2 linked regions of the Sus scrofa genome follow. The protein of the gene in region 2 interacts with the protein of the main gene of each other region in a pairwise test. Links are inferred from orthologs where the notes say so. Each region holds a gene or a part of one and is shown on either strand. Other genes may lie near its edges.

Region 1 (5,215 bases), on a different chromosome or scaffold from region 2:
GAGGGAAACTTCCCTGGAAGCAGCTTAGTCAGACAGGTGAAGGTAACGTGCAACGAGGTCAAGTATTTCAGCTAGCACCAGAATTACACTCTCTTGGAGCTCTGTTTCTCAATCCTGGCTGAACATTCCAATAACCACTGGCTGGGTCAACCCCAGATCCATTACATCAACCCCTACAATTCAGGCTCAAGCATAATCAGTATGTTTTAAAAACTTCTCTGGGGGTTCCCATCATGGCTCAAAAGAAGGGAATCCGACTAGTATCCATGAGGATGCGGGTTTGATCCCTGGCTTCAATTAGTGGGTCAGGGATCTGGTGTTGCTGTGAGCTGTGGGATAGGCTGCACATGCGGCTCAGACCTGGCATTGCTGTGGCTATGGTGTAGATCCAATTCCGTCTCTAGCCTGGGAACTTACATATACCTCGGGTGCAGCCCTAAACTCCTCTGAAGATACTTATGTGCAGCTAGGGTTCAGAAATACTGATGTAAATCTTTACAAAGTAAGGTGGATTGAATTCTTTTTTTAAAATGAGTTTTTGAATATGTTTTGCTTTAGAGACATCACTAACAAATATTGCAGTGTACTCAAATTCCTTTTGCTCTATGGATCCAAGTTTTAATTCATTTCTCATAATTAAACCTTAAAATTGAACTATGTGATAGAAAGATGATGGGGCTTCTCATTCCTGGACAATGTCTCCAAGGTCTAGACACAGAAGGAGTAAACAAAGATCTACTCTCTTTTAACTGAATTTACCTTGTGTTAATTTTTTCTGTACAGCAAAATGATTCAGTTTACAGAATCTTTTTTTTTTTTTTAAACAAGATCTACTCTTTTTTCCTCCCACTCTAGCCTGTGGTAGTTTGGATCAGTATCATTGTTTTTATTTCAAATTTGAGGAAATTTGGAGAATTGCTAATATCAGAGAGGGAAAAATACATATAAAGAGATTGATTTCTCCCATACTACCTAATTGCAGTAACCTCCATGAATACATAGACTGCCGGGCATAATCAAATTACCTCTGTAAAGTCTCGACCTAAAACTATTTTTGGAAATTAGGGATTTTCCAGATTAGTGAAAGCTGTGGCTTGTCACTAGCTCAGGCCCGAGTTTCGCAAGCGAAGCTGCTAAAGCAGTCTCTCTCCCAGTCAATACGAATCCCTCGCCATACTTAGATACCTCTGGGAACCACATGCTCATCTGACAGCTTTTTTTTTTTTTTTTTTTTTGAACCGATGTAGTTCACAAGCCTGTTTCCCAAAAATACTGTAAAGCAGCCCTTTCCAGATTCCTTGTGGGTCACTTTAAATTACAAGTTCGTCCATACAGGACATCAGAGTAACCATTTCCACCAGCCAATGCCGGCGAAGGTCGTTCGTCCTGATGCTTCCCTTTCTACTCGCTGAACCCGAGTCATCCAAACGCGAAAAGTTAGATGAGGTAGAGACGGGAGCAAAGAGATCCACGTTCTAGACAAATTATCAAATTAGCGCCAGGGTTATTATAGTAGTAAACCTTGAGAACTCTAACTTGGCTATCTCGTAAAGCCCCCTTATTATTCTTGTGGTTAAAATACTACAAACAGGCGGTTTAGACCTGGTTTATCCAAATTGACAGTTCCCTCGACCACTCTGGGGTCTCAGCGGAGAAGTCACCCTAGACTCCCTCCCGGTGGGGGCCACTCTGGGCGGACAGAGGAGCCGCGGGAGGACACCTGGCCTGAAGGGACTAGTTGGCGCGCACTGGATGGGCGTGGTGACGTCAGGGCGGAGGCGCACGCTGCGTGAAGCGTCTCAGAACCCGGCGGTCACGGGAATATCCGTCGCGCCGAGAACGCTGGTTAGTCTCACTCCGGTTCCGGCTGCGTTGGGTGTGCGTGCAGCTCGCTGAGACTATGGCGTCCGGGCCTCACCCGACCGCGACTGCTGCCGCCGCCGCTTCGTCGGCCGTCCCGAGCGCGGGCGGCTCCAGCTCCGGAACGACGACTACGACGACGACCACGACGGGAGGAATCCTGATCGGCGACCGCCTCTATTCGGAAGTTTCGCTCACTATCGACCACTCGCTGATTCCGGAGGAACGGCTCTCTCCCACCCCGTCCATGCAGGACGGGCTCGATCTGCCCAGCGAGACGGACTTACGCATTCTGGGCTGCGAGCTCATCCAGGCCGCCGGCATTCTCCTCCGGCTGCCGCAGGTCAGTGCTGCGGCCCCGGGCCGACCGGGCGCGCCTTTTCTCCGCGGCGTTCCCGCCGCTGAGTTCCGGCACCACCGGGCCCCGGCAGGGTGGGGATGTCCCCTTGGGACGCTCCTGTCCGAGCCCGGGAGTACAGCGGGCGGGAGGGCGTTGGGCGACGGAAGGACCGGGCCCGGAACTGTTCGCGGCAGGGAGGGGGAGGGGGAGCGAGTGGCGGCACAAAATGGCGGCGGCGCCGGCTGGTGCGGGCCCGTCTGACCCCTGCGCTTCCGTTCTCCTTTCTTGTCTGCAGGTGGCGATGGCAACGGGGCAGGTGTTGTTTCATCGTTTTTTCTACTCCAAATCTTTCGTCAAACACAGTTTCGAGGTAAGCGGAGCGGGGGCGGGTGAAAGGGGATTTCTTCATCCGGAAATGGGAAGGAGGGAGGGGGTAGGGTCATCAGCCAGCTTTTCCAGAAAGGGAGTGGTTAGTTTAGGCCTTTGTACCTAGCTTTCCCTCACTGGGAAGTGGGGACTTTTGAAATGTGTTGTAGAAGTAAAAGATGGATCTTGAGCCCTGGTGCCCTACACTATGAAGGATTAGAATTTTCAACCAAATGCAATATTCCTTTGAGATTGACTTTGGTTCTGGATTCAGAATTAAGAGACATTAAGCAGTGAAAAGAAACCATCATATTAACATAGTTGGTAAGCCTACGGCCTAGAAATGTCAGTTGTGGTTTTACTTCATCAAAGGGTGTACCAGTTTTGTCCAGAAGTTTCTTCATCAGAATAAGTTACTTAGATTTTGAGAGTGGCACTTTTTTTCTAACTTTATAGTTCTGTAATCTAACAATTTTTTATTGGGTGATTCTTTCAGATTGTTGCTATGGCTTGTATAAATCTTGCATCAAAAATCGAAGAAGCGCCTAGAAGAATAAGAGATGTGATTAATGTATTTCACCACCTACGCCAGTTAAGAGGAAAAAGGTAAGATTGGCATTATTGAACACAGCATCTCATGATACTACTGTTCCAATCATCAGATCAAAACATTCTTTCTTCTCAAGTTAAAATTGATGCAGAGGAAACCTGACTTTAATTTAGGCGTTAAAATTCATGTAGGAAGACCTCGATACTTAAATTTATTTGAAACACCAAAATTAACCAGTTATCTAAAGTTTGTAGAGGCAGTTGCGTTTATGGACAATCCTAACAGTGCTGTGAAGCCAGTCCTGTGGTTTAAGATTAAACAAGAAAGGGAGTACGTTTGGCTCAAGTGTGAGTGTATTCTGTAAGTTATTTTTCCCCTATCCTCTGTGGAAGACTGAAGACTGGGAGTTTGTGAACATGGCAGTTCAGGTTAATGTTGTGGCAAAGGTTTGTGTAGATTGCTTTTTCCACTTGAAGTCCCAGATAATTTTATCAGTTGAGGTTGGCTTTTGTTGCAATACCTCTCAATATTGAACTATGATATATCCTGTAATACCAGATCTGAAAGGACTGCATGATGATAAATACAAAGTTTGGAGTTTGGAATCAGAGATTAAATAGGTATTTTGTTTTGGTCAGATACAGTCTTAGTTGTTTAGAAAAATAACTGGTTGAGTTGCATTTAGATAAAGCCCATTTGTCTAACCTTGTAAGAAATTAGAGACCAAAGTAGTGTTGTCTAGGTTTTGTGGGTATCTGCTAACACTTTATGTGGACTTATGAATTCTTGTGAGGCAGTATGAAAAAGTTGTAGTGTTTTCTGCACTTATAGATGACTTATATAGAACATGTTGTGGAAGGGTATACTTGATTATATAGATTAGTTATTATGCTCACTTCTTAAGGAATTGTGTTACTGGGTAAACTTGTTTTGAGCTTGAAAGGAAGTTAGTTGTAAAAGGATTTTAAGTTGTTTTGGGTTTCGTGTTGGTTAGTACCAAATTAATATCCTGTGTCATTGGTCCTTATTTGCTGAGTGTAGGTTTGCAGCATGGAACTATTCAGAGACAAACAAGTAGTAACCTTAAAATGATTAGCCTATTTAGAGTCTGAAACATTGCTGCCCTAATAATCTTCACAGCATTTTTCGTTTGTCTTACATTCTTTGTTTCACCATCTTTTCTCATTCGTGGTAACCATATCCGGGGTAGACTAGTATTTTATTTCACTTAAAAATACCTTTTAGCTTCTTGGTGAGGAATCAGTCCCTGAAAACTGCAAGGTTTTCAAATTGGTGTCTAGTATGGTCTGAGCTAAGATTTATATTTTGATCTAGCTAATTCTTCAGGGTGTTAAAAACAAAAAGACACTAATAAAAAGGTTCTTTATCTTAGTCAAAGGATTCCGTGTTCATTTACAGGAAATAGTTTTCTGTTAGTGTTCTTTGAACCATTCAGCTAACTAGTATCATTTATGATTATCTACTTTGAAATTTTTCTTTTGAGTATTCATCCTTGAGGTCAGAGTAGGTCTTCTTAACTATAAAATCTTTGGAATTTAAAACATCTCACCTGATTTGACTGTTGTGTGTCTGATGTAACAGTATGGGTTTTTTTTGCTTTTGGGGGGTCAGTAATACAGACAAATTGTTTTTTGTCTCAGTCTTAGCAATCAGGTTATAGCATGACATTTAAAAGGAGTTATTTGCATGGAAGCCTTTTTTAAAGCAGGATGTAAAAGTGTTTCTATGCATATTACAAGTTTACTCAGACAGGTAGCTTGTATATGTTATTAACTTCAACTCTTTTTTCCCTTGCAACCGACTATACAGCGACCAGCTACATTTACCAAAGCCTGGGTGATGTGGAGTGGTACATAGCGATGAAGCTGTCGTCATGGCAACAGTGAGTGAAGTATCGAAAATCCCCAAGGAGAAGCCAGTGCTCTGAGAATAGGTCACTGGAATCGGGGACTAACAGGTTGGCCACTGGTGAACCATTTAGAAAAACTCCTGTTTCTTGTTATAAGCGTTTGTCTTTGCTGTCCAAGTTATCAGAACTATATATAGCTTAGTAATTTTTTGCGTAGATTAATGTCGTT
Region 2 (5,215 bases):
CTTGAGTCCCTCAGAGCTGAACTCTAAGGCATTCATTCATTATCCTAACAGGAGCCAACAGAGAGAGACAGACTTCTAAACATCTAAATATAATGAGGTAAGCTTAAAGGCCCATGGCATATACTGGCCTAGGAAAAAAGTAGAAGAAAACCGTACGGTAAAAATTCAGAGTTTCTGAATGGATGTGAGCCAAGTAGCAAGTAACCTTACTAGGAAGATGGGCACCATACAGCTAAAGAGAAGGGGCCGTAAAGCAAACTGTGACCAGCTTATGTCAATGAGAAACATGACAGTACTTAAAAAATAAAATAAGATCTGCATAGAACTAGAAAAACTAGCTGGTATCTTGGTTTTGATAGTGCAATAGCACCAATACAGCAAGGGTAAGCAGGTCAATCCCTTGCAAAACTTACCTTGATTGGCCCAATGGAAACAGAAGGCCCCAGAAAAGAGAGAAGCATCTGGCAGTAGCAAATTGTTTTATTTTATCTTTCTGTGGAAAGAAACTAATTTTAAATAAGAACCAGAGCATTTAAAGAATAAATATTTTTTAAAGCTCATTATCTAGTTAGAGTAGCTCTACTAAGAAAATAAGAGCTCCTTGCTGTTTAGAGATGGAAAGAAACAGAAGAGGAAATCAGAATTGTTTCTCCATCAACTAGGGAGTTTAAAACTTGTATTATTCCAGAGTAACAGAATAAATAGTTTTTTATTTAAAGAACTCCTAAAGGCAGAATCTTCTGGGCATAGTGTCTTTGAATAAAGACTTTTATACAAAATTACGGGCTATACTCCAAATAAAAAAGAAAACCACCTGACATTAAGCTCTTCTACTCTTATGTAAAAAGAAGCACACAGAGAGAGCTCCTTTCTCCACTATAATTTCACCAGTAACTCAAACCATCAAGGCTTAAATGATTATCAAAGTAAACAGTACTAATTAACAAAAAGATCATACCTAATTGATTGGCTTTCCAAATTTTTTGTTAGCCTAAATATTTGATGCTTTATTGTGATACTACATGGAAAGAACTCAGCCACCAAAAGATATGGTATAATAGAACCTCAGAGGGGGCACAAAATTAGTTATGGTAATTGAACCTGTTACCTTTCTAGGATGCTTTTCTAGGAATTCAGTTCTGTTGAATTCACTGAATCAGCATTAAAACCTTTTGGTCCAAATCACTCCCACAAAATGTCTGTTTACAATTTATGTTGGAGATGGAAGGGACAGCTCAAAAGCAGGAGTGCGGAAGCAATAAGCATTTAAAAAAAAACGAGGACACAAGACAGTGTAAGTGGAAAATGAACTATATGGCACCGTCCTATGAAAAACCAAATCAGAGTAGAACTTTCCCACCTCCACCCACCCCCACCACACAGACACCACAAATAGGAAGCTATTTCAGGAATAAAATTCATTCTAAGCCAAAGGCTTAAACAATTGCTATTTCCAGATTCTATGCATAGACATGGTCCACCAATATAAATTACATTGACATAGTATATTTACTTCAACTGACATACTTGGAGGGGAAAAGTAATTAAACTAAAAAGCCTAGGTATACATTGCTACTTTCAAATTAAACAAAACAAAAACAACTCAGCTTTGTTGCTTCAGAAAGTTAACCTCTCATACAGAAGACTTTCCATTACAAACAAATTTGGTAAATGACACAATTCCACATTTCACTTATTTGAAAATATTATTTTGGCATAAACTAAAACTCAAAACAGCTGCAAATATTGACCCAGATTTTGAATTTTGACACAAGAACACCAGAGGTAAAAAGTAAACAAATAAATACATAGTAAAACAAAACATTCTTACTTGTCCCATTGGTGGCCCTCCCATAGGGGGCATCATTTGCGGCATCATTCCATGAGGTACAGGAGGCATATTCGCTCTCTGACCCATAGGGTGCATTCCCATTGGGGCATAATGCATGCTAGGGTGCCCCATCTGAAAAAAAAAAAAAAAAAGAAAAAAAAAAAAAAGGAAAATTTACAAATTAGCAAAGACCGATAAATGCATCTCAAAAATTAACGAAGACTAATAAATGCTTCTCAAAAATCTGACTTCAACAAGTCAGTTATGCGCATAACATTATATTTGTCTAATATGTGACTAAACTATTGATTCAACATTTACTTTCTGGTCTTAAATCTGCAACTTAGCAAATTTCAGAAAGTGGAAAAAATTAAAATCATTACTGGATACCTAATTCATTTTTTAAAACATGATGATTTAATCAATTACTAAATGGCTTGCTAAAGTGAGAGAATACAGTTTAAACGCCAGCCTAAAAACTATCATGGTGAAAACCACAGCTTTGTCCTACTTCACAGATATAAGACAGCTTATTTTTATTTTATTGCGCCATTTATCCTTACTTTCTACATTGATTTTAAACTTTAAAATGCCGAAGTTACCAAATTAACTCAGATAAGGGCTACCCTTATAAAACACCAACAGTATGGATCCTCAGGAACACTTCACTCTTAATACATAAACATACTACTTACAACAGAATCTTTGAGAAAAATTACTTATGCCAAAAAAAAAAAAAAATCCCAAAGACCGAGGTCTGTCATTCATAGATACTAAAGTAAATAACTAATTCATCCATCTTAACGAGCTCCTATAAAAAGACAACTACTTTCTTTACCTGTGTCTTCATTGTTCCAGGCCTTAAAACCAGGTAACTATCTCCTGCCAATTCTCCCAGCTGTCCTCCCGCTACGGACACCACTAACACAGGTGAAGAAATTCTGGCAGCCTGTTTTAGACTCTACAGAATCAAATCTCCGCCTCCCCAACACGGCTAAGTCAGGCCTACCTCTCCAAAACGCTCACCCCGCCCGCGACCAGCACAACCAACGCGCAACTGCCTAGGCCAAACCCACCAGCAACTTCCAGGGTCCCACTTCCTTTTCTTTGTGCACCCCCGCCCTCCATTTCTCTCCCCCGGAACATATCCCACCATCTCGAGCTCTTCCTTCGTCCACTCTCATCTTCTTCTCCTTTGGGAGAAAGCTTCCTCTCTCTCTGACTCCGTTTTCATTGTGCCGCTTTCCCCTGCCCCACCGATCCCTTACCGAGGGCCGTCTCCTCAGGAAGCCGTCAGCAGAGACCCAAGAGCTGGAGCAGAGGCTTGAGCCGGACAATCTCCGCTCCCCGTCCCCGGGACCCCGCGAGGGAGGATGGCTCTCCATTTCACTCACCATGAGGCCTCCTCGCTCAGCTCCCGTCCCCGGCCTCATCGTCGGGCTCAGACTGCTCCGCCGGCGGCCACTGCCGCTACACATACCAACAAGAAGCGATCTGAGTGGCTGGAGCCCACTGGGGCCAAAGGTTAAAGGCTGCCCTGCGCTACGGGGCGGAACCAGCGGGGCCAATAAGCTGACAGGCTTCTCCGCTGTCCAATCAGACTGCGCTGCCGACACGCAGCTCTTCGGCGATTCGCTCCCAACCTCAGCCTCACTCGGCGTCGCCTGCATGGAGGGGGGAGGGGGACGGAGGAAGTTTCTGTTGCAAGTCCTCTTGGGGAAAAACTCCAGTAACTTACCCCAGGGAAGGGAAGACGTCTGTGTCTCAGCCTCCCGAGCTTAGTTCGCCTCACCCCGAAGGGGGTGGGGCAGTGGGGTTCTGCCACCTTCACCCCCCGCCCGAGTTACGTACGCCCCCACAAACCTGAGGCCGCCTGGGGTGGGGTGGGGTGGTAGGGTGGGGTGGGATGGTAGGGTGGGGGTGGGGGTGGGGAAAGCTTCTAGCGTTAGCGGTGGCCGGATACGCGCGCGCGCGCGCGCGCGGGGGGCGGATCGAGTTGGAGGGAGGGGGCGAAGAAGGCTAGAGGAGGGGTCTTGAGAAGGTTCGATCTCCGTAAGATCCAACTGGGGAGCGGGCGCCGGGATAGGGGAGTGAGGGGAGCCGGAGGCGTGCCAAGCTGCGTGGTGGGAAGTTGTAGTGGGGCGGGGAGAACAAAACGTAAGGGAAGGAGGAATGGGCTGTTAAGGGAGGTGAGGGTGCGGGGTGGTGAACTGCCGTGGAGGGAAGCGGGGGTGGAGGTAGGAGCGAGTGTAAGGCGTAAAAGTGAGAAAACAAATTGAGTCGGTAATGTGTATTAGGGCGCATGGCGGGCGCTAGGACCGGGTGCCACGAAGGTGCGACTTTGGGGCTGCCGGGCCGCGCTCTTGCTTAGAGGCGACGCTGCGATGGCCGAGGTCTCAGGGCGAGACGAACCTGTGCAGGGATAGGGGACTTGACTGCCTTCGGCCTCTTCTTTCCTCCCCTCTGCGCTCTTCTCTGCTCGCCTTCCCTCCTACAGCTTGAGGGTAGTACCCTGATCCTGGGACGCCCAGCCTCTCCAACTCCACAGCACCTTACCCGCCCAGCCGCCCACCCTTGCGCACCCCTGCGCGCCTCTGTCTGGTGGTTTAGGCCGGGGGGGGGCCGTTGATTGGCTGCTGGGACCGCGGGGAGGGGCTGGTGAACAACGCTCGCTCTCTGGGCCTCACTGTCTTTCCCGCCATGTCGTTCGTGGAGAGCGGGAGGCGCCCGGCCCCTCTGCGCCGTCGTCCGGGTACCCCTGTCCCGTTCGCTCGGCCGGCATTTTCCGCTTCCACTCAGGGAGACAGCTGGGGTGAGGGTGAAGTCGATGAGGAGGAGGGATGCGACCGAGTAGCCCGTGACCTGCGAGCGGAATTCTCGGCCAGGGCGTCGCCCGAACCTAGAAAGGACTCGCTCCTCCGGCCAGATGGGGACGGGTCTTCCCTCCTGGCGGATAAGCGGAATGGCATCTTGGCGGATGCGGGCGGTCGAACCCGAGCTCGGCGCTGGCCGGTCCAGGTCCTCTCAATTCTCTGTTCGCTGCTGTTCGCCATCCTCCTTGCCTTCCTCCTCGCCATCACCTACCTGATCGTAAAAGGTACTGAAGTCCAGAAACTGTATAGTTTTTTAAGCTGAGGTTGGACGTGGCTCTCGGCTTCAGCTCCTTCTCCCTATCAAAGGCCACCAAGCTGTAGCGACTTCCATCCAGAGTCCTCATCCGCATTTTTTGGCCTTCCCGTTTTGTTTTCTTTTTCTTAAAGGTGGAAGACCTTGGTCTGTGGTCAGGAGACCTATTTTAAGAAAGGGTCTTCATTAAGTGGGTAGTCATGAAAAAGAGAAAAAGTATCTTAAAGTCAGTGAACACTTGGGGTAAAACCTTAGCAA

The links. The genes of interacting proteins can lie anywhere in the genome.
Region 1: the proteins of PRPF40A (region 2) and CCNL1 interact in binary tests that used the Homo sapiens proteins (3 or more experiments, as listed by UniProt). The link is inferred for Sus scrofa from reciprocal best matches to the Homo sapiens genes PRPF40A and CCNL1.

What each region holds. Positions count from the first base shown.
Region 1 is NC_010455.5:96,999,101-97,004,315, reverse strand, and holds the start of CCNL1 (cyclin-L1), read left to right. Parts: upstream 1-1,896; 5' UTR 1,897-1,900; coding exon 1,901-2,203; intron 2,204-2,495; coding exon 2,496-2,570; intron 2,571-3,062; coding exon 3,063-3,172; intron 3,173-4,946; exon of another isoform or gene 4,947-5,094; intron 5,095-5,215. Other genes in the region: VEPH1 (ventricular zone-expressed PH domain-containing protein homolog 1), read left to right, coding at 1,624-1,896. UniProt on the Homo sapiens protein: Involved in pre-mRNA splicing. Functions in association with cyclin-dependent kinases (CDKs). Inhibited by the CDK-specific inhibitor CDKN1A/p21. May play a role in the regulation of RNA polymerase II (pol II).
Region 2 is NC_010457.5:60,436,108-60,441,322, forward strand, and holds the start of PRPF40A (pre-mRNA-processing factor 40 homolog A), read right to left. Parts: upstream 3,265-5,215; coding exon 3,100-3,264; intron 1,964-3,099; coding exon 1,832-1,963; intron 1,340-1,831; exon of another isoform or gene 1,109-1,339; intron 494-1,108; exon of another isoform or gene 462-493; coding exon of another isoform or gene 414-461; intron 1-413. Other genes in the region: ARL6IP6 (ADP-ribosylation factor-like protein 6-interacting protein 6), read left to right, coding at 4,532-4,928.